Caenorhabditis elegans: one gene and its partners. The protein of the gene in region 1 purifies or fractionates together with the protein of each later gene. This does not show direct contact. Each region holds a gene or a part of one and is shown in the gene's direction. Other genes may lie near its edges. The genes, in order: acbp-3, Y71H2AM.20, ran-4 and exc-4.

Region 1 (6,699 bases):
GGGAAACCCACGAGATTTCACATAAAAAAAGGAATTCGGCCTCTTAAAATAACTACTCCCATAATCACATATAAAATAAACTAAAGTAATATTGATAACAATTGGATGCAATCAAGCTCCGTGCATCCATGTCACATCAAAACAAGAGGGGCCAACGAGAGGAAAAAAGGTTGAGTTGGATGAAATTATCAGTAGGGGTAAACGAGGAAACAAGAAGGTTTTCTCTTCTTCTCTATGTTTCCCCGGGACATAGAGACAGACAACGATGGATCAATGGAATTGTCAGAGGGAAAGACGAGAGAGAGAGGACCCATCTGCGTGTAGTGTGCAGCGTTGTTGTGTCCTTCTTGCATGCCGTTCCAACGTGAGACACACAACTCTATTTCCCTTTTTTCTTTGACTCTCTTCCCGCCAAACAGATAGGATGTTGAGTATGAAGAAGAAAATGAGCGTAGAGTTGGAAAACCAAAAGGCATTTTTTCGCTCTGGGTGAGAAAAAATGAGAGAGAATAGACAGAGTCTTGCATTGGATAAGTGGGTGGATAGAAAGACGTCATATTTCTTCGTTTGATTCAATTGGGTATTTACTGATCTTTGAAAAAGTATTACTGTCTGGCAATGTACATGTATAGATTAAAGTCTCTTAAAGTTTACATGTTTTCTTGAAATGTAATGGATCAAAAATACACCACTCTTCAATTTCAGCCAGAGCAGGCACCAAAATCATCTCTACATCTACAAAGGTGACAACGTGGAACGTAACGTGGAAACGAAAACAAAAATGAAAACGTCGAAAACATGAAAACGTATAAATGAATACAAAGTTTTATTACTGAACTCAGCAGAACAGTTTTTTATTTTTATTTTAGAACGACATTATACAACCACAGTAAAAACAGTGACTATAATAATTATTCTATAAAGAAAATTAACTTTGTTGAAAATTCTAAAATCTTATAAATACGGTTGATCAGTTACCATGTGTTTGTTACTATTTGTCAGACAGGTAAATTTTTTGAAAAACATAGCCACCAAAATAAAAACACGCAACAAAGTCTCACGTGGTCATTAAGCACCAAATTTGAAACTAGTCGCAGTAACATGGAAGGTTATCTTTCCAGTAAAACGTCATGCCACTAATGTTTGCTGCAGCTACGCAACTTGAATTCCATGTTCTTATCAGATAACACGTTGTATAGTCAAAAATCTAATGTGATGTCTGTATCATTGTGTTTGTCATGATCTTTTTGTATATTTTAAAAACCTATTTTCAACTTTTAATGTGATTTTTGTAATTCTTGAAAAAAGACGACCGTCAAGCATTATGAGGGACAAAAATTCATCTACGAAACATTTACTAAAAATTTAACGTTTAAAAAATTATTTATACTCCAAACTAGGTATTTTCCTTGTTTATCCGAGAAAAAAACTAATAAGTACGTAATCCAAATAAGCATTTGGCAAAATTGAAGATTTAATTAAACTGTCTGAAACGAGTAACTTATCGGAAACAGTCGTAAATTTCAAAAAACATTCAATTCTTTTAAACTGGGTGTCTTCATAAAGTTTGCAAAATATACGAACAACAGAGAAAATAAGGCAACAATCGGTGAATTCATAAAATAAATATATTATACTTTTTTTTGAAGTTTATGGTAAACTTTGATTATTTTCTATTATTATTTTCGATTGTTTCCCACTTTTTGTTATGCTCTGAATATTACAAGAAAAGTGAAATACATTTTGGTACGTGTGTATTTTATTTTGAAAGTATATTGAAGTTTCTACAAAGAATTTTTTTACATTTTATATTAAAAAGATTTGAAATATTTCATATGGTTTTTGAACATTTTTTGATGTACAGCAACCACATAAATTTCAATTTAGAAGTAAATTCTAACAATAAGAATACACGTTTTTACTATTGTCAAATACCTGAGTTCAATTTATTCTATTTTTTTCTCAAAATGATATTATCCTATTCCATTCTCCAATGGTATCCTTTAAATGAGTGTAATCTCTCACCCGCAGTTTTCCGGACAATTAATTGTACTGTCCTTCCCGAAGACCAGCGCCAATGATAAAAAGATGACGTCTTGTTCACGGGAAGACACGATACTGAATGGGTCATCTTTATATCCAGGGAAAAGATTTAGGTCAACAGCAGCAGCCCGTTTGTCCTTGTAAATCCGATCGGGCTGACGGCGCCCAACGGCACTACTCACAGATTTCTTCACGTTCAGTTCTCCCTGTTTTGTACTTTTTGGATTCTAGTCTCGTTTTGATGTCTTGTTTGATTTAAACCGTGTTTGATAACTAAGTAAATAGGTGTAGTTTATTTCAAGGCCTTTGAAAAAGTCAATCAATTTGCAATTTGAAAACCGCTTCGAACTTTTTAATCTTTTTAATCTATTCATTAACCTAAAAATTTCAACGCTTTCTTATTTCAGAAAATGTCTCTTCAAGAAAAGTTCGACGCTGCTGTGGAAATCATCCAGAAACTTCCAAAAACAGGTACGTTGGACTTTGATTCGCTACAATGCTACAAACTATGCTATGATGTAGTTGATTCAAAGCTAAATTTACAATTTTTCTAGGACCAGTTGCCACCAGCAATGATCAGAAGCTTACCTTTTACTCTTTGTTCAAACAGGCTTCTATCGGAGATGTGAACACCGATAGACCAGGAATTTTCTCCATCATCGAGAGAAAGAAGTGGTCAGTTTTTTTTTTCATTATTCCTTTGTCTGATTCGAAAAAGGGGAATTCTTTTTTTCTTATTTCATTGACAAATGAGTCATGACCGCGTGGCTAGCTAAACTGCATCAGAATTGCGTGAGTTATGTGTGTTGATTTTTTGACCGCAATATATATTAACTTATCGCTATGCAACAAATGTCGGCGTTGTGTCTGCAAACGATGCAATTATCATTTTCTTCGAATATGGTGCCACAAAAAACGAGTAGGAACGGATGATTGTGAAATTATCAATAAAAAGTTTTGAAGAAATGTAGAGTGTCGTTTCTGATCATTGGTCTCTTCAAAACCATAAACTATGTTTGAAATACCCCTTAAAAATAACACGAAGCCTGTATTAATGTTTTCACGTTTGTAGAAACATGGATTCAAAAAATAATTCCGTTCATGGGTACTTGTGTAGTTACTGTATCCCACAATGTATGCAATGGATAAAATTCCAAAATGACCACAACGTAAATAACCATTTTAATGCTCAATTCATTTTTAGGTTTAGATTTTTCCTAAGTCTAAAATTCAAAAAGAACTCATATTGTATTTTTGAAAAAAATTAAAAAGATTTTTTGGTGTACTGATATTACACAAGTACTCGTTCATGAATAAAAAGAACGAACCCATCAAACATATGTGTTGGTGGAACATTATTTCAATGCTGGCGATAGTGAAGGTTTTATTCTAAAAGGCAATAATACAAAAAAGGCAATTTAAATACAAGTATTATTTAAAATCAGAAAGTTTCAAAAGAACGAGTGATCGTATCTAATTATAACAGTCGTGATTTTGAAACATCCATAAAAAGGTAGTATATCTTGTAATGTTTTCTATTTATTTCATTGGCTGGCGCTAAAAAAAAAGTTGTAAAAGTGTGGAGTGCTAAGATCGCAATTCTAAACAGACTGCTGGTATAATTTTTCAAACACCGATTTTTAGTGCACTTTTAATAGTACACATTTCTAATAAAATGTACAATAGTAATTGAAAAAGTTAGATGGGTCAGTTCCAATAACTCAAAATAGTTTAACTACTTGTCTGAAAATGGTACGTTGCGACTATTGATGTTGAAGCCATGTAAAAATAACAATTAATTCCAACTGGCTCACAGTATTTACTGGCATTTTCCTGACCAACCCCAGTTAATCCGATTTCCAGGGACTCATGGAAAGAGCTCGAAGGAGTGTCTCAAGATGAAGCTAAAGAGCGTTATATCAAGGCTCTAAACGACATGTTTGACAAAATCGCCGAGGTATGTGAATGGGTCTTGTCGGCAAACGTTTGAAGTTTTTGTAGCAGAAACTAGTAGTTACGTTCAGAATTACTTTGTTTTCAGGAACTTGATGTTGCCGCTTGGCTTGAACAAATTGACCCAGTCATCAAAACCAACCTCGCTCTCATTGGAAAGTAAATCTTAATTATCATAAACATTTTTTTTTCAAATTTCGAACAATATAATTATTTGTATTGCTTCTTGATACTAAATAAATATGAATTAATTTTGTAAATTGAATAACTCTATAGTTTTACTGTACATTGGAAGAATCTTGCATGAAAATGAAAACTATGAATTGCATTTGTAATAGTGAAATTTGAACATTGTATGTATACATAATTTTTATTGCAGTAGAGTTGAAACTGTGAATAAATTTTAAATCCACAATATAAAATAAAAATGAAAATCAGACGAGCACCCGAGAAGGAAATTAAATGAATTCGGAATACATAAGAGATCAACATAATGTTTGTGTGTAAGAGATAGTTCAATAGAAAGCACGAGGTTAAACATTTCAGATAAAACATTGCAAAGGTTATAAGCGTTCCTTTTTATCCATTTCCTCTCTCTTCTTGTCTTCCTGGTATGCAAAAAACTGAAAAGTGCGGTAGACAACATGCAAAAATATGCAATTTATGACTATAACAAACGACATGGCAGCCATCACACCCAGTGTGACCAGGATTGCAGCTGAAAAATTTTGAAGTATAAATATTCACAAGTAGTATAATCGTTCTCACTGGTAACACTTTCTCTTGATCGGAAGTGATACTCATCTGGATTTGATCGCAAAGCTTTAAGATTGTCGAGGATGTTCCTGTAAATATAGTTGTTTTTAGTTTGTTCCGAGTCTGTTAGTTCCCAAAACCTCGATACATCACTAGTTCCCTTCAACATGTGGTACACAAAAACCAGGAACAAAATTATCATGCCAAAGTTCCATATTACCTGCAACATAATTATACGTTTCATGAAAAAGAACGAAGCAAAAAATAAACATACATTGTAAAACAAGTACGGCTTCAGCAATCCCGAACGTTGCTTTGAGACACCACAAAACAGAGTCAGCAGAGAAATGCAGTCGAATATAAGAAGGAACGCTTCGAGATATCCTGCAAAAAAGAAAAATAGAGAAAAGAATTATATGAATGAATTACAAATTGGATTTTGAATAAATTTAGCAAAACAAGTATGCAAATAGTTGGTATAAACAAGAAATTGTGACGTGCTTACCGTTTAGACCGAGTTTTGAGATGCCCATAAAATATAGAACAAGGTTTATGATAAATCCTAAAAAGGCAAATACTGCAACTGCTCGGCACGCTTTCTGAAATGTTGTTGTTGTTTTTTAAACATTATATTTCAACTTTCTTTTATTATCTGCATCGTAGAAAAACTATTCAAATCACATTTATAGTCAACAATTTTTAAAAAAATTCACACATTTTTTTGCAGTCGCTTATTCTACTTTATCTGAAAACTGACTATCTGCTGAAACCAGTAAAAGGGAACACTTTATATGCGAGCTTACTTGAATATGACAAGAATTGCAGCAATAACTGTTGGGAGGAATGGGATCTTCCGTGAAACCCAGGCTCACGACAGTTTCCCGTTGCGGCGTTTTCATTATTCCGTTTCCGTTTCCGTTTTCATTTCCGTTTGCATCTGCAAACATAACAGTGTAATAGTAGAGATCACGATAGTAGATAATATTTCGGTCCTTGCTCATGAATGCTCAGAATGTGCCAAAAGTGAATGCACAACATCTTGGAAAGAAAAGATTCAATAACAGAAGTGTGCGTCCTAAACAATGTTGAAATTGAATCTTGACCACTTTTTACTAACTTTGAGAGGATAAATGTAAAAAAGAACTGAGCATTTTTTTATGTTTTTAAAATAGAAGTGTAGTAAAGAAAATCGACTTACAATGCGGAATCTTGATAATTGGACAGTCAGGGTTATCTGATTCCAAAACAACTGAATACGGCTCAAAATTCATCAGACACAGGATGGCAGAAAATAAATCAAAAAATGAAGAAAATTTTGTAGAAGCTTCAACAACTCCGTGCACAGAATTATTTATTCTAGAATAGCGTGATAAAAACGATCGTTTTTGAGTTATCGGCAACCTTGAATATTCTAGTATCAGCAGATTTTCAATTTTACGCAGACAGACTTTTTATCCAAATTTTGATTTTTGAGGTGAGCAGTATATGGATATGCATGTGTGTTGTTTTGGGCACGTCTTGGATTTAGAAAAAAACATAAATCACTGCCATTCAAGCGCTTCGTCTTCTTTTTTACTCGGTTGAACACACCACAGGTGATCATTTAAACACAATTCGGTTTTGAAAAATTAAATATAATTTGAGAACTGTTGATGAAATGATGATTTTGTTGGGAATGATGATGAAATAAAAATCGAAGCCGTAAGTGCTTGAAAAATTTTTTTATTAAATATTTTCACAATTGATTTTACCATGTCCATTTGCCATAGTATTTTCAAAGCATACATATTTTAAATTTTTGGAAAAAATATTGGAGGCTTTGCGTTTCTCCCCGCATTTAATGCACCACCAATTGCTCCAATCGTGCTTTGAAAAGCTCATCTACCTTCGGCGCACTTTTCACGCCCTTATCAATGATAGGTGGCGCCTATTAACCGATATTTATGT
Region 2 (8,112 bases), on another chromosome or scaffold:
ATATGACCGGCCAATTATCTAGAAAAAATTACATGAGTGGACAGATTTGTGAATTCTGTGGCTTTCTCTGCAAAAACTCCTTCTACAATATGCAACGAAAAATCAAATATCCGTTAACAGTGAGATACTCCATTATATAGATTTTCATGTAGCTGTTTTTTACTTTGAAAAGTCTTTTATCATTTGGAAGAAAAGAGAATTTAGAACGAAACAGTAATCATAATTGTTGTATATATATCACGATCATGTGAAGCCGATGGAAATTTGGAAATGGTGTTTTGTAATCTTTATGGACTGCAAAAAGATTGCAAATTAATCTTAGAATATTACACATTTTTTTGTAATATTTTTAGATTTCAGAAAGATTGCGAACCAATCTCAAAAGATTGCTATGTCATCTCAAAATATTACGAATTTTTCGTAATATTTTCAGATTCAGAAATATTGCGAATCAACCTCAAAATATTGCGAATTATTCTCAAAAGATTGCTCAATCTAAAAAGATTTCGAATAAGTCTCGGAATATTGCGATTTTATCTTGAAATATCACCCAACTACAAAAATATTGCTATTTAATATTTTCATATTAGATTTGAGTTGCCTGAGAAAATCAGTGAAAAAAACCACCGAACTGAAAACGAAAAACCCTTGAATTTGGGTCCAGAATTCAGCGCGAGCTTCTGTTTTCGAACGTCTTCAAGGAAATTTTGAATTGTTTTAGTTTGCCGGTTACTCGTCGAGAACGCCAGAAATTCTTCTGAAAAATTGAAGAAAATTATCGATTTTGTTTGTTTGAGGCGGGGAAATTTCTTACGAAGCCGGTCGATTTTCTGCGAATCGACGGATTTTTTCGCTTCCAAATCCGATTTAATTTCCGCCATTAAATTATCGATTTGTGCTCCTTCAGATTTCGATAAACATTCTTCAGTTTGCACTTTTCGTTCTTCATTTCTTTGTTCCAGTTTTGCAATTAATCGATCTTTTCGATCCAATAAAATTTGTTCCGAAGATGCTTCCATTATGCTGAAATCTGGCGTTTTTTTGCGCGATTTTTGTGGCAAAAAACTGGTCTCGCCACGACAATTTTGAGTTTTTTTTTAAATTTTTGATCGATTTTTCATAGTTTTTTTTTCAGATTTTATAGAAATTTATGTGTTTTTATTCTAGTTTCGTTAAAAAAATATGCAAAAATTCTCATAAAATGTGAGAAAAACTATAAAAAATCAATAAAAACCACCGGAACAAAAGTTTAAAACTACAGTACTTTTTAAAGGCGCATCCCTCTTCGCATTTAACACAAATTGTCGCGTCGAGACCCAGGATATAGTATAGTATTTTTGCCCCAAAATTGCTTCTGGGTTAATTAGTTATATTCAAAACGGCTCAAAAGACCAGATGGATGCTGAAAAATGAAAAAAATGAGAATTTTCCGGGAAAAAAATCAATAATTCTTCATTTAATTTACAATAATGAACTAAAAAGAGACTTCGAGAGAATTGTTCAGTCGTATCTGGTGTACTGGGTTCTGCGTGGATACCATGGAAGAAGAACTTGAGAGAATGAACGTCCACTGCCTGAAAAATAAATAGATTCCATGAATTTTTGATGATTTTCTTGCATTTTTCACTAGAAAATCTTCCGTTTTCCCAGAAATTTTGAATTTTTTAGCCAGAATTCCCTTTTTTTCGCACTAATTTCCAAAATAATTACTTAGAATTGCGAAAAAAAAACTGAATTCTAGTCCAAAATTCAAGTTTTCTGTGATGTGTCGATTTACGCAGCTCGTGTACTCCTCGAGGAGAAGATTAAGCTGAAATGCGCCATTTTCACTATTTTTTTTCTGAATTTAACATAAAAATCGGTGATTTATAGTATTTTACATGAACAATGACGAATTTACTGTTAAAAAATACGAAAAAACCGATAATTTGTAGTTTTCCATGGTGTTTTAGGCTAAAATCGGTTTTTCACGCCAATTTTTGCTATTTTTAAGATAAAAATCATTGATTTGGGTGTTTGAATGCAAAAATTGGTCCGAAATCGAGCATTTTAGCCAAATCTTCTCCTTTTCAGCGTTTTTTTTTCGGGGAAAATGTATATATTTTCTGCATTTATCACAGAAAATCGCGAAAAATACGGTATTCTCTGGGGGGAAAAAGCCGAAATCTTTCAAATTTGATCGAATTCAGCCGGGTTTTTTTTTCGAAATTGCAGTAAAATCTGAAAATCGATTTTTCAGCAAATTCCAAAACTCACGATCATTAAAATGGTCGAAATCCTCTGGATGAAGCTTCATGTAGTGCTCGATGACTGCGTCTCTCGTCTGATAGTGTCTCTCTCGAAGTGCTCCGGCAGCGTATCCGGCGGCGGTGGCGGCTCCGATGAGCAAAAGCCGTGGAACAATTGCGTAGTAGTACGGCTTCTTGTTCCATCGATTTTGCAAATAAACCGAAGCCAGCGAGATTCCGAGCATTGCACTGGCACCCTTCAATGGGTAGCTCCATGTGAATGGATCGGCCAGGTGACGAGCTCTGTGTCCTGCGCGAATAAAGGTCTCGCGGCGCTCGATTTCCTTCTCGCTGACGCGAGTTGAGTCAGCCATGGTTTCCACTGAGAAAATTATTTATTTGGGGGAAATATGATTTTTAAAAAAAATGAGATATTTCAAGCGTCTCATAACGCCATAAGAAATAAAAGTGTTTAAAATATTTTACAAGTGACACTTTTTATCGAATATCAGCACTAATAAAACGCCTGTTCTCGAATACAATCGAACAATCTCATTTAGCGATCGAATTTAGCTGGGAAACGTCCCTCGGAAAGAAGCTCGTCCCATCTCTCGGTCCAGAATCCGGGGCAGAAGTCCTTGTAGACATTTTGGAAGAACTTGCACGGCTTGTAGTCCTGTCCCATGAGCTCATTGCAACGATGGAAATCGACGTAGTAGGCGAAGCATTGACGTTGCTTACGGACCTGAAAACTTGTACATTTTTATTATTAATTAATATATAATAAATTTTAAATAAAGTTACCAACCTGTGGGAATCTGGCGTCGTATGGAGCAGCCCAGAGAAGATCCTTCTTCACAGACTCGTGGGTCTCCTTCTTGTACCAGTCTGGCGAGTCTGGATGACGGAGAGCATCGGAGAACTTCTCCTGTAAATTTTTATCGATAAAAATGAAGAAAAACGCTAAAAATTCACCTTGTATTGCTGGAGTCTCTCGTAAGTGGTTGGGGGAACCTCAACTTCGACAGGCATTACTGAAATTGAATATAATTGAAATTTAAACACGGGCGGTTATTTTCAAAGCTCAGAAATCCGTGAAAACCGAATTAAACAATATTTAAAATCAATAAAAATTTTTCACTAAAGACGCTGCGCGAGCCACACACTCCTATACACCTCTCACGCACAAAACGCTCCACAATGGGGTTTTGCGTTGGAGCGCACTTGCTGCATTATTTTTTTACATAACAAAGTTCTAGAAATCAAAACAAATAGATTTTTTTCCAGAAAAATGGCTGAAAACTCGTATAAACCGCCGGAAAAGATGATTAAAAATGTGTTCGACCTGAATCCGTGGTACTTTTCCAAGGTAGAACAGAAATTTTATCGATTTGAAGGATTATGAATGGAAATTTGCAGGCTTACGAGGAGTACCTGGCTTTCTTGCATCGTTTGAATGATTCTGTAGTTGGAGTTCATACAACTGCAGACATGAGATGCACAGACTTGGTTATCAGCTTTATCGACATGCTGGATAAGCTGGAGGTTCGAGAAATTACGGAAAATTACGAAAAACCAGATTTAAAAAAATAAAAAATGGATTTTTTTCAGAAATGGGCTGAGGAAATTCCTCTGGAAGATGTTTCCGAGCAAAGATTTGGCAATAAAGCTTACAGAAAGTTTTATGAGAAGCTTTGCAAGGTTTTTAGCTCAAAAATGTATTTAAAAAGATTTTAAAAATTCCAGGAATCCCCAGATCTCCTAGCCAGCGTTCTTCCGGAAAACGTCCACGATGCTCTAGTCGAACTGGTTCCATATTTCACAGAATCCTTCGGAAACGCCACTCGAATCGATTACGGCTCGGGACACGAGGCGAATTTCCTAATTTTGCTGTTTTGCCTGCAAAAGTTGGGCGTTTTCACAGAAAATGATGACAAAGTGCTCGTTCTTCGCATTTTTAACAAGTATTTGAGAGTGTGCCGTCATCTGCAGACCAGATTCAAGATGGAGCCGGCTGGAAGTCGTGGAGTTCATGCGATTGACGATTTTCAGTTCGCGCCGTTCATTTTTGGAAGCGCTCAGCTTATTGGTAATATGTTGGAGCAACTAGAAGTCTTGAAATTCAGGAAAATAGCTGAATTTTCCATTAAAAACTCAAAAATTCTCAAGAAACCACAATTATTAAGTCGTTTTCCGAAGAAAAACCGACTTATTTTCACAGATTGTCGGAAAATTCTATCTAAAATGTCTTTTTTCACAGTATTTGTTCAAAAAACGTTCATTTTTCAAGGATTTTTCATTCGAAATCATGCATTTTTCCGTTTTTTCGTTGAAAATCATCAAATTTCACGATTTTTGTCGAAAAATCACAAATTTTTGCGATTTTTTTTAAATAAAAAATCAACAATTTTCCCGATTTTTCATTAAAAAATCATCACATTTTTGCGATTTTTGCCAAAAAATCATAAATTTTGGCAATTTTCCTTTAAAAATCATAAGTTTTCACAATTTTTCATTGAAAAATCCTCAATTTCTCCGTTAAAAATCATCAATTTTCGCGATTTTCCTATTAAAAATCCGGGAAAAATCGTTTAAAATCTTCAATCTACAACATTTCCTCGTAGGAAAACTTCAAAAAAAGCTAGTTTTCACTAAATTTCCTGTGAAACTTAAAAAAGGCACCGAAAATGACAAAAAAAAATTTTTCTACAATTTTTCTAGAAAACCCCGCTTAAAAGCATATTTCTGTGAAAATTTCAGAAAAAAAATTATAAAATTTTACTAGAAAATCACCTAAAAATCTAGTTTTCTACCAATAAATTACAAAAAAAAAAACTTTTGAATTTCCAAAGCTTATATAGGCCTGAAATATGTTGAAAAATGCCAAAAAATAGCCAAAAATCCGCTCCAAAATCTTAAATTGTTTCGATTTTCAGGTTCAAAAAGTATCGTGCCGGACAGTTACCTAAAAAAGAATATTGTTGAGACTCACGCCCACACAAGTCTTTTCCTGGACTGCGTAAACTTTATCAATCAAACAAAAACCGGCCCTTTCCACGAACATTCAAATCAACTTTGGAATATCTCAGCAGTTCCACACTGGAAAAAAGTCAATAGTGGAATGTTTAAAATGTATGAAGGAGAAGTTTTAAAGAAGTTTCCAGTTGTTCAGCACATGATGTTCGGCTCTTTATTCTCATTTGATCGATCGGAGCATCCAAGAGAATCTATGGAAGATGCTCCGTCACAGGATCCGATGCCTCCAAGAGCTCCGGCTCAGCATGGAATGTTCGCTTTTAAGGTTAATTCGGAGAAGAAAATGGTAAAAATATCGACAATTATAGAGATTTTAAAGCGAAATTTTCAATTTTTCACTGGAAAAATTGATTTTTTTGAAAAATAAATGGAAAAAATCGAGAAGAAGTGGTGATTTTTTTGGCAGAAAAACCAATTTTCACTGAAAACGCACTAAACCGCTGAATTTTCACCTTCAAACAGAAAATTCTTTTAAAACTGATTTTTGTCAGAAAAAAACGTTTTGTATGGAAAATTACGATTTTTTGCTGGAAGAATTGAGAAATGACCAAATTTTTCAACAAAAGCTATTATAATCGCCTTAAATTTCGAGTTTTCCCGTAGAAAACTTACAAAAAGTGTATATTAAAAGTGTATATAAACCAATGAAACCCAAGATTTTTGTTTCTTTTTCTAAAAATTAGTAGAAAAATTAGGAAAAAAAATCAATTTGTTATGACCCTTTTTCTGAAAATTTGCGTTAATTCTGAAAAAACCACTTTTTTTACAAAAATTTTTTATGGTCGGTCAAAATATCGAAGAAAAAAAAGCCAAATTTTGCTAAAATCTGAAATTTCGCACACTTTTCTTTGTCACAGCCGCTGGATTTTAATTTTTCTGAAATTATCAACCTTTAATCCTTATTTTGGTGATTTATCTCGCGGAAATTCGTTGATCGAGACAACTTTTAGGCCGATAGGCACCCAAAAATGATCAAAATGAGATAAATCACCAAAATAAGGATTAAAGGGTGATAATTTCAGAAAAATTAAAATCCAGCGGCTGTGACAAAGAAAAGTGTGCGAAATTTCAGATTTTAGCAAAATTTGGCTTTTTTTTCTTCGATATTTTGACCGACCATAAAAAATTTTTGTAAAAAAAGTGGTTTTTTCAGAATTAACGCAAATTTTCAGAAAGAGGGTGATAAAAAATTGATTTTTCCATCATTTTTCTCACAAACTCCCCCTGAAAAATCAAATATTATTTCAGATCCCATCCGCCGCCAACACTTCAACCGTCCATTCGTCATCTGTCGTCGAATCTGGAGACTTGCGACGTCTTCACAGTGAGAAACATCCCAACGAGCACTGCCCACCACCAATGGCCGATGCATGATCTCTACTATATTAAAATATTTATTCATTTTCCGTGAAAATCATGACTGTATATCTACATTTGTGCATCAATAAATTGTCTGTGTAAAGCGCTAACACGATCGATTATAAACGATTCGATCTCCAGCTCGGGGGCTCCCGGAGCAAGATTAATCTCCTCTCCTTGCTCAATATTCTTTCTGACGAGAGTTACACGTTGCTTGCGAGTTGATAGCATATTCGCGATGACGAGTTGATGGCCGTACTTGGAGAGAGCAGCTTTTGCCTTTGGAATCAGCTTTGTTTCGTCCGTTTCTAGCTGGAAATTTACGAATTAAATTGAAATTTAGCGGGGGGAAATGGGCATTTTCAACTAATTTTTTGATTAAAAATTGAGAAAAAGCACGAAAAATACAGTAGAAATTGAATTTATGTACTTTTTCTTCCAAAAAAAAAGAGAAAAAACCGTGAAAAAAAAGTACATTGGACATTGAAATATATTGAAATATAGTTTTTTTTTCTAAAATTGAAAAAAAAAACCGATTTTTTTAAAACACCTTTTGCCATTTTTCAATAATTTTTTAGTTAAAAATTGAAAAAAAAATCATATTAAATTACAGTAACCCTTTAAAGGCGCAGGCCTTCTTTTAAAAAGTTTCTGCGGTCGTGCCGATACCCGCCAAAGGAATTTTTGCATTTTTTCCTGGGGTTTTCGTTTTATTTTTCATTTTCACTTCAAATTTCAAAAATACTGTTAAATTTCAACCAATTTCTTGCGGTTTCTTTAGGTTTTCGTCCTTTTTAAACAATTTTTTGCTAAAAAGTGGAAAAAAAAGCTACAGTAACCCTTTAAAGGCGCACACCTTTTTTCAAAAAGTGTCTGTGGTCGTGCCAAGACCCGTCAATATAATTTTTGCATTTTTTCGGGATTTTTTTCGATTAAAAGTGGCAAAAATATCCAATTCCAAGTGGTTTACGGGAGAGAAAACCAAAATTTTCGATAAAATCGCATTTTTTGGACATTTTTGCACAAAAAAATCGGTGAAAATAGCAAATTTCGATCAAAAATCGCAAGAACAAACTTTAAACGAGACGATAAACGCATTCGGGATGAAGCAGGTGACAACTTTTTGAATAACTTTCGGAGCAACGCTGAGCTCCAGGCTCAGCTCGGTGTTGCTGGCGATTTTGTGAGTTGGCAGCTCGGTGACGACAAAATCTGAAACCGCAGCGGCCAAATAAGCCATTGCACGGGATCCCAGAGGATTTAGATGAATGCAAATTTGCTCGAGACGTGACATATACTGATCGAAGGTCTTGAACGGAATGTACAGAATTTTCTCCTCGTACTTGAACTTGTCCCGCAGAATTTGCGCGAGATTCGGCAGATCACACACAACATTCTCCCCATCTAGCTTCAGCGAATTGAAAATATTCGGAAAATGCCTGGAGAACGGCTTCAGGGACTCCTCGCGGTGCATGAAGATCACCGCGTA
Region 3 (5,961 bases), on another chromosome or scaffold:
GAATCTTGATTTTGTTTTATACAGAATTTTTCTGAACTCAATGAAGCCGATGACTCCTAATTAATTTATTCAAGTTTCGTTCATTTAGATATGACAAGGCATCACGAAGATCTCAAGACTCACCCGGCTTCTGATACGTGACCTAGAAATAGTTATAACTCGGCCAGCAATTTATCAAAAGCAAAAAAGTTGGGAGGAAAGTATAATTTCATCTTTTGAAATCGTTTCTCTTAAATTTTAGCAAATGTCCATTTTTAGAATTTCTTTGACTATTTTGAGTTTTTATTTTAAAAAAAAGTCCATTAATAGAAACTAACATAAGTACTACTAAGAAGGCGTCATATTGTTATTTTTGTTTCAGATGGATGTACGTCACTACTTTTTATTGAGGTGCTCTCATGAGGAACCAGAATAAATAAACTATTTTATAACACACTGTACCATTTCCAATTGTTTAAGAAATTAAAAAAATAGAATAGAACTCACAGAAAATCAGTTTTTTTCTGAATCTGGCGGCGAAAAAAGCCAAGATATGGACGGAACCTAATTTTGGGGTGTTCTCTAAGCAAATTTTGAACATTGATTTCGAATACTGAATGTTAGAAGAACGCCAAATTGACGGCGAATAGATTAGGAAAAAAAGGTTTTCAAAACAGTAATAATGTATTTATAAATTCTATAGAAGTATGACATTCTGAGAATATTATAGAAAAAGAGATTTCGTATTATTATTATTATCAAATCATTCTGTGAATCTTCGTATCATATGACTTACTATTAAACAACCAAAATGAGCTGAACCTAAAGCCTTGAAGACCACGAAGTGACCACAGATTAAATACTGGAGGAAGAAACAAAACAAGTAAATAATCATAACAATTTATCTATAAAATCCTTTCAAAAGTTGAAGTAAACAACATCCTTTGAGATATCATGATTAAAAAGAATGAATAATGTTTCTAAATTTGTATAATCCTCTTCCTCTTTTATATTATTTTTATGATTTCTTCTGACTTTGAAGAGAAACAAAATCGGATTCAGATAAATTTCGAAAATTCTTGATTAACTCGGATTAAATGTCTCCTGACAATTGCACAACGAGCAAAACAGATGAAGGGTAGAAGAAGAAAGAGAATTCGTAAGTAAAGAGAATCGAGAAGAGAATAGAAACTGACATAAAAAGTTAGAAGGTTTTATGATTAACATATATCGCATGTTTCTTCGTGTATCGAGAACAGTTTTTTCTCTCTTTCAAATGGAATTTTGAGAGCGAGAAAATTGGCAAATATTATTATTTTTCGTACATGTGAATAGTTAAGAGCTCTCTCCTATAAGAGTATATTTAACTCGACAGGAGGGGTTACTGTACCCATGTACATATTTCTGCGTTGCGTGGCCGCGAATGTGAAAAAACTCGGCCACATTCATGAAAATTTTAATTAAAGGTTTAAATTAAATCACTCATATGGTCAAATTGGCGAACATCATAGTTAACATTTTCAAAATTTGCTATACGTTTTCGTATTCAGTGACAATTACGTTGCTTTTTCTACAAGTTTTATATTTGAACTACGTTCCAATAATTTGTATTTGAACGTTGTATGAACCTGCAAGATGCTCGGAATTACTAAAAATAAAATCTTTAGAAAATCTGGCAGTTTTCCAAAATGTGACTGAGATTTTTGAAAAAAGCTCACATATTCTTCTAAGGCGATTTCACAACTTTTACAGGCTAAAATGTTTTATCTTGGATGGGATTTTCCTTTTGAGAAAGATGTAATTAATACTGTCAAAAATCAAGACCAAAAACTTTAAAAAAATTTTGATTCTCGAACTATTACACAAGCTGGGTAAATCGACACATAGTTAGAGGTTCACATAAATTTTCTTCCATTTTTAGAAAAAAATTTGGGAGTTTTAAAGCTTGCTCAAATTCAGTCAGCAAAATGGTATACAATTTAGTTTTAAAATGTTTGGCTTACTTATTTTCCTTTCAATTACAAAAATCTACATTTGAAAACTAACTGAGTATATGTATCGCTCATAGAATTTTGATAATCATGTGAGAAGCAGTATGTAATGAGTTCGGAATTGCTTGCATTAATTTTGTCAATGAACTGTTACCAAGGTAACCATAAATGTGACTGGATGAGTTTGATGTAATGAGCTCTCGAAAATTGATATCATTTCAGTTCTGGATGATGTGAAAATATAATAGTAACGGTTCTTTATTTTCAGAAAACGTTGGCTTCAAAAGACTGGTCAGGTGCCGAAAAGGGAAGAGTGAAAGAACATACATATATGGTGTTCGCTAAGGCATGAGGATGCGCAGAGATGGAAAATTATTTCAAGTTTCTATAAATTACAGAAAATTGATTTTTGAAATGCCAACATTACGGAGTAAGAATAAAGTTTAACTTCTTATTCAATTGGTAGAATGGAAAGAAATAAAAAATGGAGCAACAACAAAAGAGGAACATAATTTCAGTGGTTTTGTCGTTATTTTGTTGCTTTTCCAGCTCTGTTTTCCATTTTGGCGAGCTCAAAGAGACATAAAAACAGAGCCAACCAACTCTTTTTTCTCTGCGCCTCTTCAACAAAAAGAGTGACGACAAGGCGATTTCTCTGCTCATAACGTGTTCTCTCTCGTTTACACACTCTCTCGCTTTCTGTGCAGTAATCGCGCTCCGCTGGATTATGCTACAAAATGTGCGCGCGATGCTGGCACCTTGCCATTTTATTCTGATTTTCCAATTTATTTAGGCATTTTTATTTTTTTTAATCGGTTTTCTCTTGTGAGGAATCAAATAATTCATAATTATTTTTAATTAAACTTCCCAAGAACGAACAAAACGCAGGAAGACAATACTGTTCTTTCGAAAACTGAAACATGAGGCCGAGGGTTTAAACTTTAAAAACTAAAAAAAAACAATTTGGTTGCTGTTTATTTTTCTCAATGCGAGCAAGACCACTGCTCATCTAACAACTAATTTTCAAAATTTATTGAGACAACCCATCTCGAGTAAATATATAATTCAATTGTTTCGAAAATTATCGTATTCTTCGTTGCTTTTTCCTACCTATCTTATTTATTTTTACTCTTTTTCAATTATTTTTCCCAATTTGTCGTTTTTAAAGGAATGAGCTTCAATCCTGATTACGAAAGTGTTGCAAAGGCCTTCATTCAACATTACTACTCAAAGTTCGATGTTGGCGATGGAATGAGTCGTGCTCAAGGTATTTCGTCTGAAAAAAACAATAAACTTAGTGAATTTCAGGACTCTCCGATTTGTACGACCCAGAAAACTCTTACATGACTTTTGAAGGACAGCAAGCGAAAGGCCGTGACGGAATTCTCCAAAAGTTCACGGTTTGTGCAAAAGTACGAGAGTTCAATAACGAAACACTTTTAGACTCTCGGATTCACAAAAATTCAACGAGCGATCACTGTGATTGACTCTCAGCCTCTGTATGATGGATCAATTCAAGTGATGGTTCTTGGTCAGCTCAAGGTAAGTAGAAGTAGTTTTCAAAAAAACCGAAAAAAAATTATTCAGACCGACGAAGATCCAATCAATCCCTTCTCGCAAGTCTTTATTCTCCGTCCAAACAATCAGGGTTCCTACTTCATCGGAAACGAGATCTTCCGACTTGACTTGCACAACAATTAGATATCAATTCGTCCACTTTCCTATCAAAATGTGTCCCCGTATTGAACAATTTTTCAAGAACTGAATTTTCACCAAATTGCTTAAATATCTATTTCAACCCGGCTTTTTCCATGTTTCTAAATCGGTTTCTTTCCCCACACAGTTTCGTGTCGTTTTACTATTTCGCACAATTTCAAACTTCTAGTTTGCAAATCGGTTCAAACTAAAGAATGAAGTTTTTATCATTTTCTTTCCGAGATATCGAGAAAATTTTGTTTAATTCGTTATTATTAGTGGTTTTTCAACCTTTACAATACCTTTGACTTTTTCAGCAATGACCTCAAAAATATAAAAATTAAATACAGATGGTGAAACAAGCAACAAAAGGGCAGAAAGAGATCTATGAGGAGAATCAGAAGACTGTCACCACTTATAGTGTGGCTAGCACGATTAGCATGGTAAACATTTGTAATTTCACATTTCAACGATTTTTTAAAAATTGTTTTAGGCAATCTACTATTCATCGTGTATGTTTCTGAGCCAGTGCTCTTCCACCGATTATGTATTTTTTGCTGTCTCAGCGCTCGTGCAGATCTTTGCTATTCTTTTCATGAAATCTTTAGCTAGTAAGTTTGTCTTACCCATTAATTTTTTGTATTAATCTGAAATTATGATTTTAGAAGCAAAGCTTGACGATAAAGGACATGTTTTGGATGCTGGTGCCGATTTGAACGATCCAGAAGCATTCGGAGAATACTGTAAAGACGCCATTATTCTGACAGTCATTATTCAAGTTAGTTTTTGCAAAAAAAAAGTGTGGGAAAGTGCGCATTAATAGTTCAAAAATGAAATATTCTATCTTCAAATGTATAATTTACTCTGTTCCCAGATCATCTCACTCTATTCTACATACGGATTCCTTTTGCTCCTCGCCTTTCCTGGAGCAGCCACATACAAATTTGTTGCTGGATTCCTTCTACCATGGTTGACCGCTGGATCAGACTCAGATGAAATGGATGACAAGAAACAGAAGAAATTGGACAGAAGAAGAGAAAAAGTCGTGTACAGACGTTAAATTATAACTTCTAGAAAACAATGTTCCCTAAGTCACTTCAAATTTTAAATTATAATCGTATTTATTTATTGCATACTTGTAATGTTTATCTATTCAAATATTTTTTTTTAATACACATTTTTTCCAAAAATTTTAATGTTTTTATTCATGGTTATTTTTCCCGATCGCTCTTATTTTAGTATTCTCAAAAACTTAAAATGTTGTCGATTCTATATATAATTTCAGAGATGTTCCAGCAGCGGCAGACACCAACAGAATTTTCACAGATGGACGATGTAGTTTCAATTTGTAGGGAGATCAGTTCGAATATCATTTCCACAGACAAGAATGTTCCTATTTCAAAAATGATTATTCATGTACTTATAAGTTATTTCAAAATTAAAATTATCAATATGGAGCATTTCAGAAAATCTTCAAGAATCCCCACATCGATTTGTGCTCCATCCTCCCACCTCTAATACAACAACATTATCCAGATTCTCCTTATTGTCACATCCAATCACTGATAAACTCAAATTCAGTTTTCTTCGAAACCGTCCTGGAGGATGATCAGCTTTGTACTGAACTTTGGGACAGTATTCTACATCAATGCGAAGTGTCAACTGCGGTATATTGTTTTACATAATTTTGATTCTGAATCCTTTTGAATTTTCAGCCAACTGAGCCTGCAAAAGATTCAATTCTGTTCTCAGCAGTTTCTCAATATGTCACAAGAATTCTTCCATGCGATGAGACGGCACCTTCTTCGATGTCAGTCCCAAGATCTCCAAAAATCACCCATCAAACTATTCGGACGCCACTTCAGCTCTTTCGTGCCGATTCGCCCCTTGTTAATCGAGTTAGCATTGGTACGTAAGGTCGTCCGGTTTTCTGAAAAACCGAACTTGTTTTAGTTTTTTCGGTTTTGTTCGGTTTGACTCAAAAATCAGGAAAATAAATCGAAAAAATTCGAGGGCACTGAAAATCGAAAAACGAAAATTTTGTTGGGTTTTTGTGTTTTGAAACATCTAATATTTTTCGATTTTTCGGAAAAAACTTAAAATTTTAGCCATTTTTCTTCTTTTTTAAATTCATGTTTTTTCCATCAACATAGACAAAATTAGATTTTTATAAATTGAATTTTATGGTCAATTTTAATTTAATTTATTACTTTTTTCTCCTGAAATAAATCGAAAAATTTTCCGGCGACACTACTGATCCCGAAAAAAAAACCAAATTATTGAATGCATATAAAGT
Region 4 (10,563 bases), on another chromosome or scaffold:
TACAAAAAATGCGGGAATTTTAACGCCGCAAACTTCTTAATTGATTTCGCATTGTTAAGAGTGTGCTGACGTCACACCACTTTTCTGTGGAAAAAACTCCCGCGTTTTTTAAAGATCAAGCTGTGATGGGACAGACAGCCTGACACCACGTGCTATAACGGGTTGATCTACAAAAAATGCGGGAATTTTTTACACAAAAAAATGTGACGTCAGCACGTTCTTAGCCATGCGAAATCAGTTGAGAAAAGTCTGCGTCTGAATTTGCCGCATTTTTTGTAGATCAAAACGTGTCTCATGTTTCCAGCCGGTTTTAAGTGAGAAATCGATGGTTTTCCTCGAATTTTCAGCTTTTAAAGGAGGAATAACGGTTCGGACAATTTTGAACGTATATACCTAAAATGGGCTGAAATGAACGATTTTTGTAATGAACTTCTCAAAAATGTTTAAATTTTTTCAAATTTTTTATGGCGGTTTAAAATTTCGAAAAAACTACACTGATTTTAGCTAAAATCTCGAATTTCGGCCACTTTTCTCTGTCACATCTGCGCGAAGTTGACTTTTTTTGGAATTATCATCCTTTATAGCATATATTGGTAGTTTATCTCACATGAGATCTCATTCAATTTCATCGATTAAGGTACATTTAAGACCGATAGGTAACCAACCTATCGGCTTTAAATGTGCCTTAATCGACGAAATTAAATGAGATAAACTACCAATATATGCGATAAAGGGTGATAACTCCAAAAAATTAAACTTCGAATGGATGTGACACGTGAAAAGTGGCCAAAATTCAAGATTTTAGCTAAAATTAGTTTAATTTTTTTTCGGAAATTTTGAACCGTCATAAAAAATTTTTGAAGATTTTTTTGAGAAGCTTAATCACGAAATTCGTTCAATTGAGCCCATTTTGGGACTAAACGTTCAAAATCGTCCGAACCGTTAGTCCTCCTTTGAAAGCTGGAAATTCGGGGAAAACCATCGATTTCTCACTTAAAACCGGCTCGGAACATGAGGCATACACTCAAAATAATAAAACTGAGTGGCGTGTACTGCAGAAAACCTCATAATTAGGCCCCGCCTTTTTGTCGTCCACTCACGGGGAAAAGGCAAAATTCGGGGACCAACCAATATCAGGCCGCCGACATCTCATGGGTTCCGCGCGCCGCTATGTTTAACTCGCAGCGGGCGGAGGCAGCTTGCCACACCCACAACGAGTTAAACATAGCGGCGCGCGGAACCCATGAGATGTCGGCGGCCTGATATTGGTTGGTCCCCGAATTTTGTCTTTTCCCCGTGAGTGGACGATAAAAAGGCGGGGGCTAATTATGAGGTTTTCTGCAGTACACGCCACGCAGTTTTATTATTTCGAGTGTACACGTTTTGATCTACAAAAAATGCGGGAATTCAGACGCAGACTTTTCTCAACTGATTTCTGGGTTTTTGCCTGAAAAATGACGTATATCGATCAATTTCACCACGTCAATAGAAATTCCAGAAATGCCACTCTTCACCTGACGGCATCTAGTTTTCGGAATCTCGCATACTATTCACATATATATATTTTATGAATAAATCGCATCGCATAAACCGTTTCTGTGTGATTCGTTTCCGATTACACCACCAACAGCAGCACCCGCCGACCGACCGACCGACGTCTCCACAATTTTTATGATTGTATGTATGTATGTATTATATGTTAGTGTCTAGTGTAGATGTATTTGTATCTTTCTCTTCTTCTTCTTCTACTTCTACACACTGCGGGATTTCCAAATTGGACATTTATTTGGGGGACGGTTTTCTCTGGGGTCTCTACACTCTCTGTTCGATCCGTTCGGGGGGTGTCTCGTCAATTAACAAGTTGCGAGACCATGTACCTGCTGACTTTCTGGACGATTTCATAATTTTTTTTCGATTTTTTTGGCATTTTTTATCAGAAAAATGTGTACTTAAGCCGTAAATCGACATAATTTTTAAAAGAGCCATTTTGGCATGTTGTTTCATTAAAATCTAATCACGAAATATAGAAATCGCAGAATCTAACCGAAAAACTTAATTTTACTTTAAAAAATTTTGCGAAGCAATTTAAATCTTTTACACGTGGTGTCAGACTGTCTCATTGCGGTTTGATCTATGAAAAATGCGGGAATATTTTTCCAGAAAATTGTGACGTCAGCACGCACTTAACCATGCGAAATCAGATTAGATGTCTGCGTCTCTTCTCCCGCATTTTTCGAAGATCAAAGCAAAATGAGACTTTCTGTGACTCCACGTGATTCTAATATTCTTTACCAAAAATATTTGTCACGGAATATAGAAAATGAGGTTTTCTAATTCAATATAGCTTTAATTCCAATTGAAAGGCTTTAGGAGGACATCTTGTCTGAAAATCGGGAGATTTCCCGCAATTTGCAACTTTCAGCTAGTTTTTTGCACACTTTAGAACTAAAATACCTCGTACCTTGTATTTTAGTTCAAAGTGTTCAAATCTCGTCTAAAAGTTGCGAATTACTGAAAAACCCCCCATTCCATTGCAATTACAATTACAATTTTTGTTACTAAAACCTTAAACCTGAAATTAAAATATATTTTTAGTAAGAAATATTGAAAGTAAATTCCACAATGGCTCATTTTTTATTACGGGAACAAGAAATTCTGAGAATGCGTACATCGCAACATATTTGACGCGCAAAATATCTCGTAGCGAAAACTACAGTAATTCTTAAAATGACTACTGTAGCGCTTGTGTCGATTTACGGAAATCGTTTATTAATTGATAGCGTATTAAAAGCACACTTTAAAAATAACACAGTAAAAAAAGCTACAGAAAATTGAATATCATTGTCTCGAAAGTCAGTCCCGTAAATCCACACACACAGAGCTACAGTAGTCATTTGAAGGGTTACTGTAGGTTTCGCTACGAGATATTTTGCGCGTCAAATATGTTGCGATGTACGCATTCTCAGAATTTTCTGTTCTCGTAATAGAATTTCCCCTGGAAACTAAAGTTTTCAAGCTATCTCGAACTTGCTTTGTATAATATTTTCTAGTAACAAAACAAAAAATTTCTTCAATTTCATTGAGAAATTCCCAGAAACAAATTTCCAGAAACATGCTAAAATCTGATGCTGAAATCCAAAAAAAGGTGTGGAAAACTCCCAAAACTAGCTATTAAATCTAAATTTTGAACATTCATTGGAAAATTAACAAATATTCGTAAAAAACGGATGTTGTTACCTAAAATTTCCAGTATTTACACCAATTGTCGTAAATATTTTCTCACTAAATTTAAAAATTCTCCATTTATTCGATATATATATATATCATTTACTATATATAAAGCGCTTATTCTGTGTGTCCATAGTTTGTAGTCTATGTGGTCTTTGTAGTCTGTGAAGTTTTGGCTTCTGGAGGGATAGTGAGTTAGGGTTAGTGTAGGGATATAGTCGGGGTACTGTAGTGGTACAATAGTGGTACGGTAGGAATACTGTAGGGTTACGGTAGTTTCATAAAAAATTAATTTTCAGCCCCAGAAGTCGGGGGCCGCGCCGAAGGTGCGGTCCACGGCTGGTATATATATATATATATACCAGCCGTGGTATATATATATATATATATTTAAAATATACACTAATTTTCTTCTGTTTCTTCCGGATTTATTGTGTTATCTCACCAAATTTTCCTCTCCAACAACCACCGCTAATTCCAGATATGGCAGAAGCTTACCAGATCCAATCAAACGGAGATCCCCAATCAAAACCTCTTCTCGAGCTCTACGTAAAAGCGTCAGGAATTGATGCTCGCCGCATTGGAGCCGATCTTTTCTGTCAGGAATTCTGGATGGAGTTGTATGCTCTTTATGAGATTGGAGTTGCACGAGTCGAAGTGAAGACTGTCAACGTGAATTCTGAAGCATTTAAGAAGAACTTTCTCGGAGCACAACCACCGATTATGATTGAAGAGGAAAAAGAGCTGACATACACTGATAATCGAGAGATTGAAGGACGGATCTTTCATTTGGCAAAGGAATTCAATGTTCCACTCTTTGAAAAGGATCCATCCGCTGAGAAGAGAATAGAGAACTTGTACAGGGTGAGTGTATGGAAGAAGAAGAAGCCCGGAAACTGTCGATTTACGCGGATCGTGTACTCCTCGTGGAAAAGATTCTGTAGTTTTCAGGGTTGTGGGGCACTTTTTTTTCACTTTTTCGTCAAAAAAATGAATTTTTAGTCTAAAATTGATATAGAAATATAGAAAACGGGTTGTTCTATTTGAAAATAACATTTACTTTTGTTGAAAATCTTGAAAAAGACCTCAAATAGTGCCTGAAAGTTGCCGTTTGCCGGAAAAGTGCCGTTAAAAGTTTTTAGATTAAAAAAACTGGGTTCTTTCAAAATGAAAATCCCTTTAATCACATACACATGAAAATAACATTAATTTTTGTTCCGTTTGCCGGAAAAAGTGCCGATTAAAGGTGATTTTCATTTTGAAACAACCCAGTTTTTTTAATCTAAAAACTTTTAACGGCACTTTTCCGGCAAACGGCAACTTTCAGGCACTATTTGAGGTCTTTTTCAAGATTTTCAACAAAAGTAAATGTTATTTTCAAATAGAACAACCCGTTTTCTATATTTCTATATCAATTTTAGATTAAGAACGAATTTTATTTTCCACGAGGAGTACACGATCCGCGTAAATCGAACGCCTAATGTGTTGATTTACGCGGATCGTGTATTCCTCGTGGAAAAGATTATCCAGTTTTCAGGGCTGTGCGGCACTTTTTCGGCAAAAAAATAAATTTTTAATCTAAAATTGATATAGAAATGTAGAAAACGGGTTGTTCTATTTGAAAATAACATTTATCTTTGTTGAAAATCTTGAAAAGCCGAAAAAGTGCCGTTAAAAGGTTTTGATGACTTTTTCAAGATTTTCAACAAAAATATATGTTATTTTCAACTAGAACAACCCATTTTCTACATTTCTATAAAAATTTAAATCAAAAAATGGATTTTTTGCGAAAAAATGCCTTGTACTCCACGAGGAGAACATTTTGCAGTTTTTGCTGATTTATAGTGTTTTCAGTGAAACAAAAATACATCATTTCCCCGGGAAAATTGAAAATTTTTGTTAGAAAAAGCGAAAAATACAAGTTTTTAACGAAAACTCTGAAAATTTCCGCGAAAAATATTTAATTCATCAATTTTCAACAGGGTTTCCCCACGAAAATCGTCAATTTTCGTAAAATTCTCGATTTTCTTTTGAAAATACCGAATTTTTACCGAAAAATAATCACTTTTCCGCCAAAAACTGCATTTTTTCAGAAATTTCTGGTTTTCTCACTGAAATGCAACATTTTGTCATTAAGTTATCGATTTTCTGATTAAAAATACCAAATTTCATAGAAAATATGAAAACTGCAATAAATTGATTTAAAATATTGATTTTCAGCAAAATCCGTAAAATCTTCTCCTCGGGGAGTACACGAGGCTTCACACAGCTTGATATCTCAAAAATGTCCTTTTTTCGATGAAAAAATTTAGAAATTGGTCCAATTTTGTCTTAACAGTATGGAAAATTCTGTTTTTTCCTAAAAAAAAAAAAGAAACATTTCCCAATTTTTCCGGAAAAACTTCAAAAAAAATCCAATTTTCCCGGAAAAACTTCAAAAAAAATTAATTTTTCCGGAAAAACTTCAAATAATTCCAATTTTTCTGGTAAAACTTCGAAAAAATCCATTTTTCACGACGCGCGTAAATCGACAAAGTTAAATTTGACGTTTTCCCCCGTCTAATTTCCTCTCATTTTTCAGAACTTCAAACTGTTCCTGCGAGCAAAAGTAGAGTTCGATAAGGGAAAAAAGGAGCCATCGAGAGTTGAAGATCTTCCAGCACAGATTAAAGTTCACTACAATCGAGTCTGTGAGCAACTATCCAATATTGATCAGGTAAAATACACACAGAAATCTGCGAAATTGCCCATTTGCCGAAAATTTTAATTTTCGGCAAATTTTCCGGCAAATCGGCACTTTGCCGGAATTGAAAATGTCCGGCAAGTTTCCGATTGCCGGGAAATGTTAAGTTTCTGCAAATTGCCATTTTGCCGGGAAATTTTAAGTTTAGGAAAGCTACCTATTTGCCGAGAATGAAAATTTCCGGCAAATCGGCAAAACGGAAATTTTGAATTCCGGCAAATTGTCATTTTGCCGTAAATTTCAATTTTCGGTGAGGTACCTATTTTCTGGAAATTTTAATTTTCGGCAAATAGGTACTTTGCCGAAAATAAAAAATTACGGTAAATCGGCAAAACAAAAAATTTCAATTCCGGCAAAGTGCCAATTTGCCGGAAATTTTCAATTCTGGTAAATTGCCGAAAATGATCAATTCCGGCAAATTACTGATTTACCGGAAATTTCAATTCTGGCAAATTGCCGAAAATTTAGTATTCCGGCAAAGTGCCAATTTGCCGGAAATTTTCAATTCCGGCAAACTGCCGATTTGCCGTAAATTTTAATTTTGGGTAAGTACCTATTTTCTGGAAATTTTAATTTACGGGAAAATGGCAATTTTCCGGCAAATCGACACTTTGACGATACAGAAAATTTCCAACAAATCGGCAAAACGGAAAATCTCAATTCTGGCAAACTGCCGAAAATTTATTATTCCGGCAAATTGCCAACCTATCGGAAATTTTAAAATCCGGCAAACTGCCGATTTGCTTGCCGGATATCAATTTGCCGGAATTTTATAAAAAGATTTTTGATAATACTGAAACACTTCATAGGATGCGTTTTCCGTTTGAAATTGAAATTCATAAAAAGTTTCAGAAAAATATATGCGCAATTGCCGGTTTGCCAAAGTTGCCGGAAATTTCTAGCAAACCGGTAATTGCACATTTTCCCCAATTTTCCGGCAAAATCCCGATTTGCTGGAAATTTCTATTCTGGCATTTTGCCAAAAATTTAGTATTCCGGCAAATTGCCGATTTGCCGGAAATTTCAATTCCGACAAATTTTCCATTTTGCCGTAAATTTTAATTTTAGGCAATGCAAATTTCCGATGATTCGCCGGTAAAGTACCTATTTTCTGAGAATTTCAATTCTGGAAGTTTGCCAAATTTGCCGGAAATTTGGCAAACCGGCACTTTGCCCAATTTCCCAATTTCCCCAATTTTTTGTGATAAATATTGTTTATCGCATCTTGTCAACATAATTCCATCAAAAATTGCCCCCATTTTATTGCAGTTGCTATCCGAGAGAAAATCTCGATATCTACTTGGAAACAGTATGACTGAATATGACTGTGAACTGATGCCACGTCTTCATCATATTCGAATTATTGGATTGTCACTTCTTGGATTCGATATTCCACATAATTTCACTCATCTCTGGGCTTATATCCTCACTGCATACCGTACAGCAGCATTTATTGAGAGTTGTCCCGCCGATCAGGACATTATTCATCACTATAAAGTGAGGATGAAGCTGCAAACTACAGATTTGTTAGCCGGAATCAGGGGTGCCGAGGAACAATGTTTTTTGTTGAAAAAACCAACCAAAAAAAAATTCGAATTAGCCATGAAACATACAATTTTTATTCTAATTTTGTCTATATTTTAATAAGAAAAAACATACGAATTATTATTCTGAAAAAGAAAAAATGGCCAAAAGGTTTTAGTTCAGAAGATTTCGGAAAAATTCAATTTATTTAAATAATATATCTCCAGTTTGATTTATATGAAAAATGACAAAAATTGTGGCTTTGGGGAATAATTTCGACTTTTTCATTGAAAATCTTTTTTAAAAAAACGAGAAAACTATTGATTTCTCAAAAAATATGCTAATTTTTATGTGAAAGTGTAGAAAAAGTCTTTAGAAATAGCAAAAAGACCAGAAAAGGATGTTTTTTTTTTTTTGCTTGCAACAATTCAAAATTTTCGATTTTCTCTTGAAAAAAATCCAAATTTCGGCCGATCAGGACATTATTCATGACTATAAAGTGAGGATGAAGCTACAAACTACGAAGACTCGACACTACAAACTACAGATTTGTTAGCCAGAATCAGGGGTGCCGAGGAACAATTTTTTTTTGTTTAAAAAAACCAACAAAACATGCAGAATTCAATATTTTTATTACAGCTCACGCCTTATTTCATAGAAACAACAGAAATTGCACTTTTTGAGCAAATTTGACCCCAGTGTTGGGTTTTTTGAGAGAAAACCGAGACAGGCGCGACTAAAAATGCACCATTTTTGAGGTTTTAAACGCCAAATTTATATGAAAAATGACAAAAATTGTGTAAACTAGTACTTTTTCACGCTTTGGAGAAATAGTGCACTTGAATTTTCGATTTTTTCATTGAAAATCTAAAAAAAAATCGAAAAAAAAATTTTTCCCGATTTTTCCCGGAAATTCTTCCATTTTTCGAACAAAATTTGGAACATTTCTGATTATTTCAATATTTTTAGCGAAAATCTGGAAATTGTTAGTGTTTCCACTTTCGATTTTGACCAAAAAAAAAACCAAATTTCGGCTTAAAAATTGCTAGGATCGTCAATTTTGCTTATTTATTTAGCCTGAAACGAGTTTAAAAAAATAGCACGATTTAAGGAATTTTCGAGGAAAATAGTACTTCTCACGATCTCCTCAAAGCCGATTAATTATTAGAGCGCGCTTGCAGCGCCTCGCGTTTCTGCATCCGGGGTATTTTGCCTTTCCACTGAAAAAAGCAGCTTTTTTTTCAGATTTATCGAATTTTTAGCTTTTAAAAATTTTTTCCTGCATTTTTCGAACAAACCGTTTTGTTTAACAGTGAAAATCGAATTTAGAATGACTAAAATGAACTTTTTTCGTCCACTGGTTGTGAAATGGTTTGAATTTGAAGAAATCAGCGGGATTTTTCTTATTTTCTAAATATTTTTCTATTAAAAATTGGATTCAACATTTGTGACTTAACGTTAGGGTCAAAAAATGGTTTGCAACCGATTTTTAATAGGAAAATATTCAGAAAATACGAAAAATCCCGCTGATTTCTTCAAATTCAAACCATTTCTCAACCCGTGGACGAGAAAAGTTCCTTTTAGTCATTTTAAATTCGATTTTTACTGTTTAACAAAACGGTTTGTTCGAAAAATGCAGGAAAAAATTTTTAAAAGCTAAAAATTCGATAAATCTGAAAAAAAAACTGATTTTTTCAGTGGAAAGACAAAATACCCCGGATGCAGAAACGCGAGGCGCTGCAAGCGCGCTCTAATAATTAATCGGCTTTGAGGAGATCGTGAGAAGTACTATTTTCCTCGAAAATTCCTTAAATTGTGCTATTTTTTTTAACTCGTTTCAGGCTAAATAAATAAGCAAAATTGACGATTCTAGCAATTTTTAAGCCGAAATTTGGTATTTTTTAAAGAGAAAATCGAAAAATTTTAATTTTCCTGGTCTGCAAGCGCGCTCTAATAATTATTCGGCTTTGAGGAGAGCGCTTGCTTCTATGATAATTAATTTTTTTGAAAAATGTTTGGTGTAAATTTTTCAATTTTACAGCGAAATCAACAAAAGTTTGGTGCGGCTAACAAAACTCTAGTTTGTAGTCGTTTCCCAATTTATGTGATTTTTAAACCCCAAAATTCTCTGAATTTGCAGGAACAAATGAATCTGTTCACAAATCAACGTGAAACCCTCCAATCGCCAACAAAAACGCACACAATTCCGGAAAAAGTGCTATCGGATATTCGTGTTAAAGGACTTGCTCCCGATGTTAATGTTCATTAAATTAAATTCCCTCTACTATTTGCTCTTTAAGTGACAGATTTCTCAACGAAAATTTAAAAAAATTTCGGCTAAAAATTGCATATTTTGGTAATTTTTTCGTCGAATTGACACAAAAAACCGGAATTTTGAATTTTTCTTGTAAAGAGAAAATCAAAAAATTTTGGAAAAATTGGAGCTGATTTTTATGTGATGAAAATCTATTAAAAAAATGGCAAATTTGTTCAATTTTTTTGGCTATTCTTTTTATATATTTTTCCCACATTTTCACATAAAAATCAGCAAAAAAAATTCAAAAACCGAGTTTTCTCAGAAAAACGCCTAAAATTTCCAGATTTTCGCAAAAAATATTGAAATAATTCTTCGAAAATTGGGAAAATTTCCATTTTTTCAAAACAAAAAAAGTGCGGGAATATTCGGAAATTTCCGATTTTTTTTTCAAAAAATCAGACATTATCCAGATTTTCGCTTTAAAAAACCGACTTTTTTCAAAAAATACGAGAAAAAGCGATTATTTCAGATTTTCGTTGAAAATTCTGAAATAAAACAGAAAATTTGCAGATTTTCGCTGTTAAAACCGAAAAAAAATTACAAAATTTCCAATTTTTTCGGGAAAAAAACGGAAAAAATCAGAAAATTTCCAGATTTTTCCAAAAAATACCGGCAATATCTGAAAATTTCATTTTTTTTTTTGCAAAAATACTGGAATAATCAAAGTATTTCCAACGTTTCTATCTGAAAAATCAGAAAATTTTCCAATTTTTTTGCAAAAAAAAACGTGAAATGTATTAAATTTCCAGAA

What was found.
Region 2: the proteins of acbp-3 (region 1) and Y71H2AM.20 fractionate together in Caenorhabditis elegans (co-fractionation; one large-scale study listed by BioGRID). This does not show direct contact.
Region 3: the proteins of acbp-3 (region 1) and ran-4 fractionate together in Caenorhabditis elegans (co-fractionation; one large-scale study listed by BioGRID). This does not show direct contact.
Region 4: the proteins of acbp-3 (region 1) and exc-4 fractionate together in Caenorhabditis elegans (co-fractionation; one large-scale study listed by BioGRID). This does not show direct contact.

Annotation. Positions count from the first base shown.
Region 1 is NC_003284.9:10,900,828-10,907,526, forward strand, and holds acbp-3 (Acyl-CoA-binding protein homolog 3), read left to right. Parts: upstream 1-2,444; 5' UTR 2,445-2,453; coding exon 2,454-2,514; intron 2,515-2,597; coding exon 2,598-2,718; intron 2,719-3,906; coding exon 3,907-4,000; intron 4,001-4,084; coding exon 4,085-4,159; 3' UTR 4,160-4,261; downstream 4,262-6,699. Other genes in the region: F47B10.8 (MARVEL domain-containing protein), read right to left, coding at 4,560-4,714, 4,765-4,841, 4,893-4,972, 5,027-5,136, 5,258-5,351, 5,556-5,689. UniProt on the Caenorhabditis elegans protein: Binds medium- and long-chain acyl-CoA esters with very high affinity and may function as an intracellular carrier of acyl-CoA esters.
Region 2 is NC_003281.10:2,781,352-2,789,463, reverse strand, and holds Y71H2AM.20 (Serine/threonine-protein phosphatase 2A activator), read left to right. Parts: upstream 1-3,515; 5' UTR 3,516-3,519; coding exon 3,520-3,597; intron 3,598-3,647; coding exon 3,648-3,773; intron 3,774-3,839; coding exon 3,840-3,929; intron 3,930-3,974; coding exon 3,975-4,317; intron 4,318-5,164; coding exon 5,165-5,529; coding exon of another isoform or gene 5,530-5,550; intron 5,551-6,512; coding exon 6,513-6,638; 3' UTR 6,639-6,692; downstream 6,693-8,112. Other genes in the region: tbcc-1 (C-CAP/cofactor C-like domain-containing protein), read right to left, coding at 633-757, 815-1,019; nduc-2 (NADH dehydrogenase [ubiquinone] 1 subunit C2), read right to left, coding at 1,501-1,574, 2,257-2,602; cox-6B (Cytochrome oxidase c subunit VIb), read right to left, coding at 2,785-2,973, 3,037-3,156, 3,204-3,260; Y71H2AM.6 (DNA/pantothenate metabolism flavoprotein C-terminal domain-containing protein), read right to left, coding at 6,693-6,935, 7,699-8,112.
Region 3 is NC_003279.8:8,588,077-8,594,037, forward strand, and holds ran-4 (putative nuclear transport factor 2), read left to right. Parts: upstream 1-3,138; 5' UTR 3,139-3,140; coding exon 3,141-3,237; intron 3,238-3,278; coding exon 3,279-3,370; intron 3,371-3,413; coding exon 3,414-3,512; intron 3,513-3,557; coding exon 3,558-3,671; 3' UTR 3,672-3,902; downstream 3,903-5,961. Other genes in the region: tmem-208 (Transmembrane protein 208), read left to right, coding at 4,016-4,108, 4,159-4,276, 4,331-4,443, 4,540-4,725; R05D11.9 (Sphingomyelin phosphodiesterase 4), read left to right, coding at 4,953-5,081, 5,132-5,332, 5,381-5,573. UniProt on the Caenorhabditis elegans protein: Facilitates protein transport into the nucleus. Could be part of a multicomponent system of cytosolic factors that assemble at the pore complex during nuclear import.
Region 4 is NC_003279.8:14,511,864-14,522,426, reverse strand, and holds the start of exc-4 (Chloride intracellular channel exc-4), read left to right. Parts: upstream 1-3,707; 5' UTR 3,708-3,711; coding exon 3,712-4,092; intron 4,093-5,809; coding exon 5,810-5,944; intron 5,945-7,240; coding exon 7,241-7,468; intron 7,469-9,635; coding exon 9,636-9,764; 3' UTR 9,765-10,563. UniProt on the Caenorhabditis elegans protein: May insert into membranes and form chloride ion channels. Involved in the formation of the excretory canal. Required to prevent cystic lumenal expansions in the excretory cell.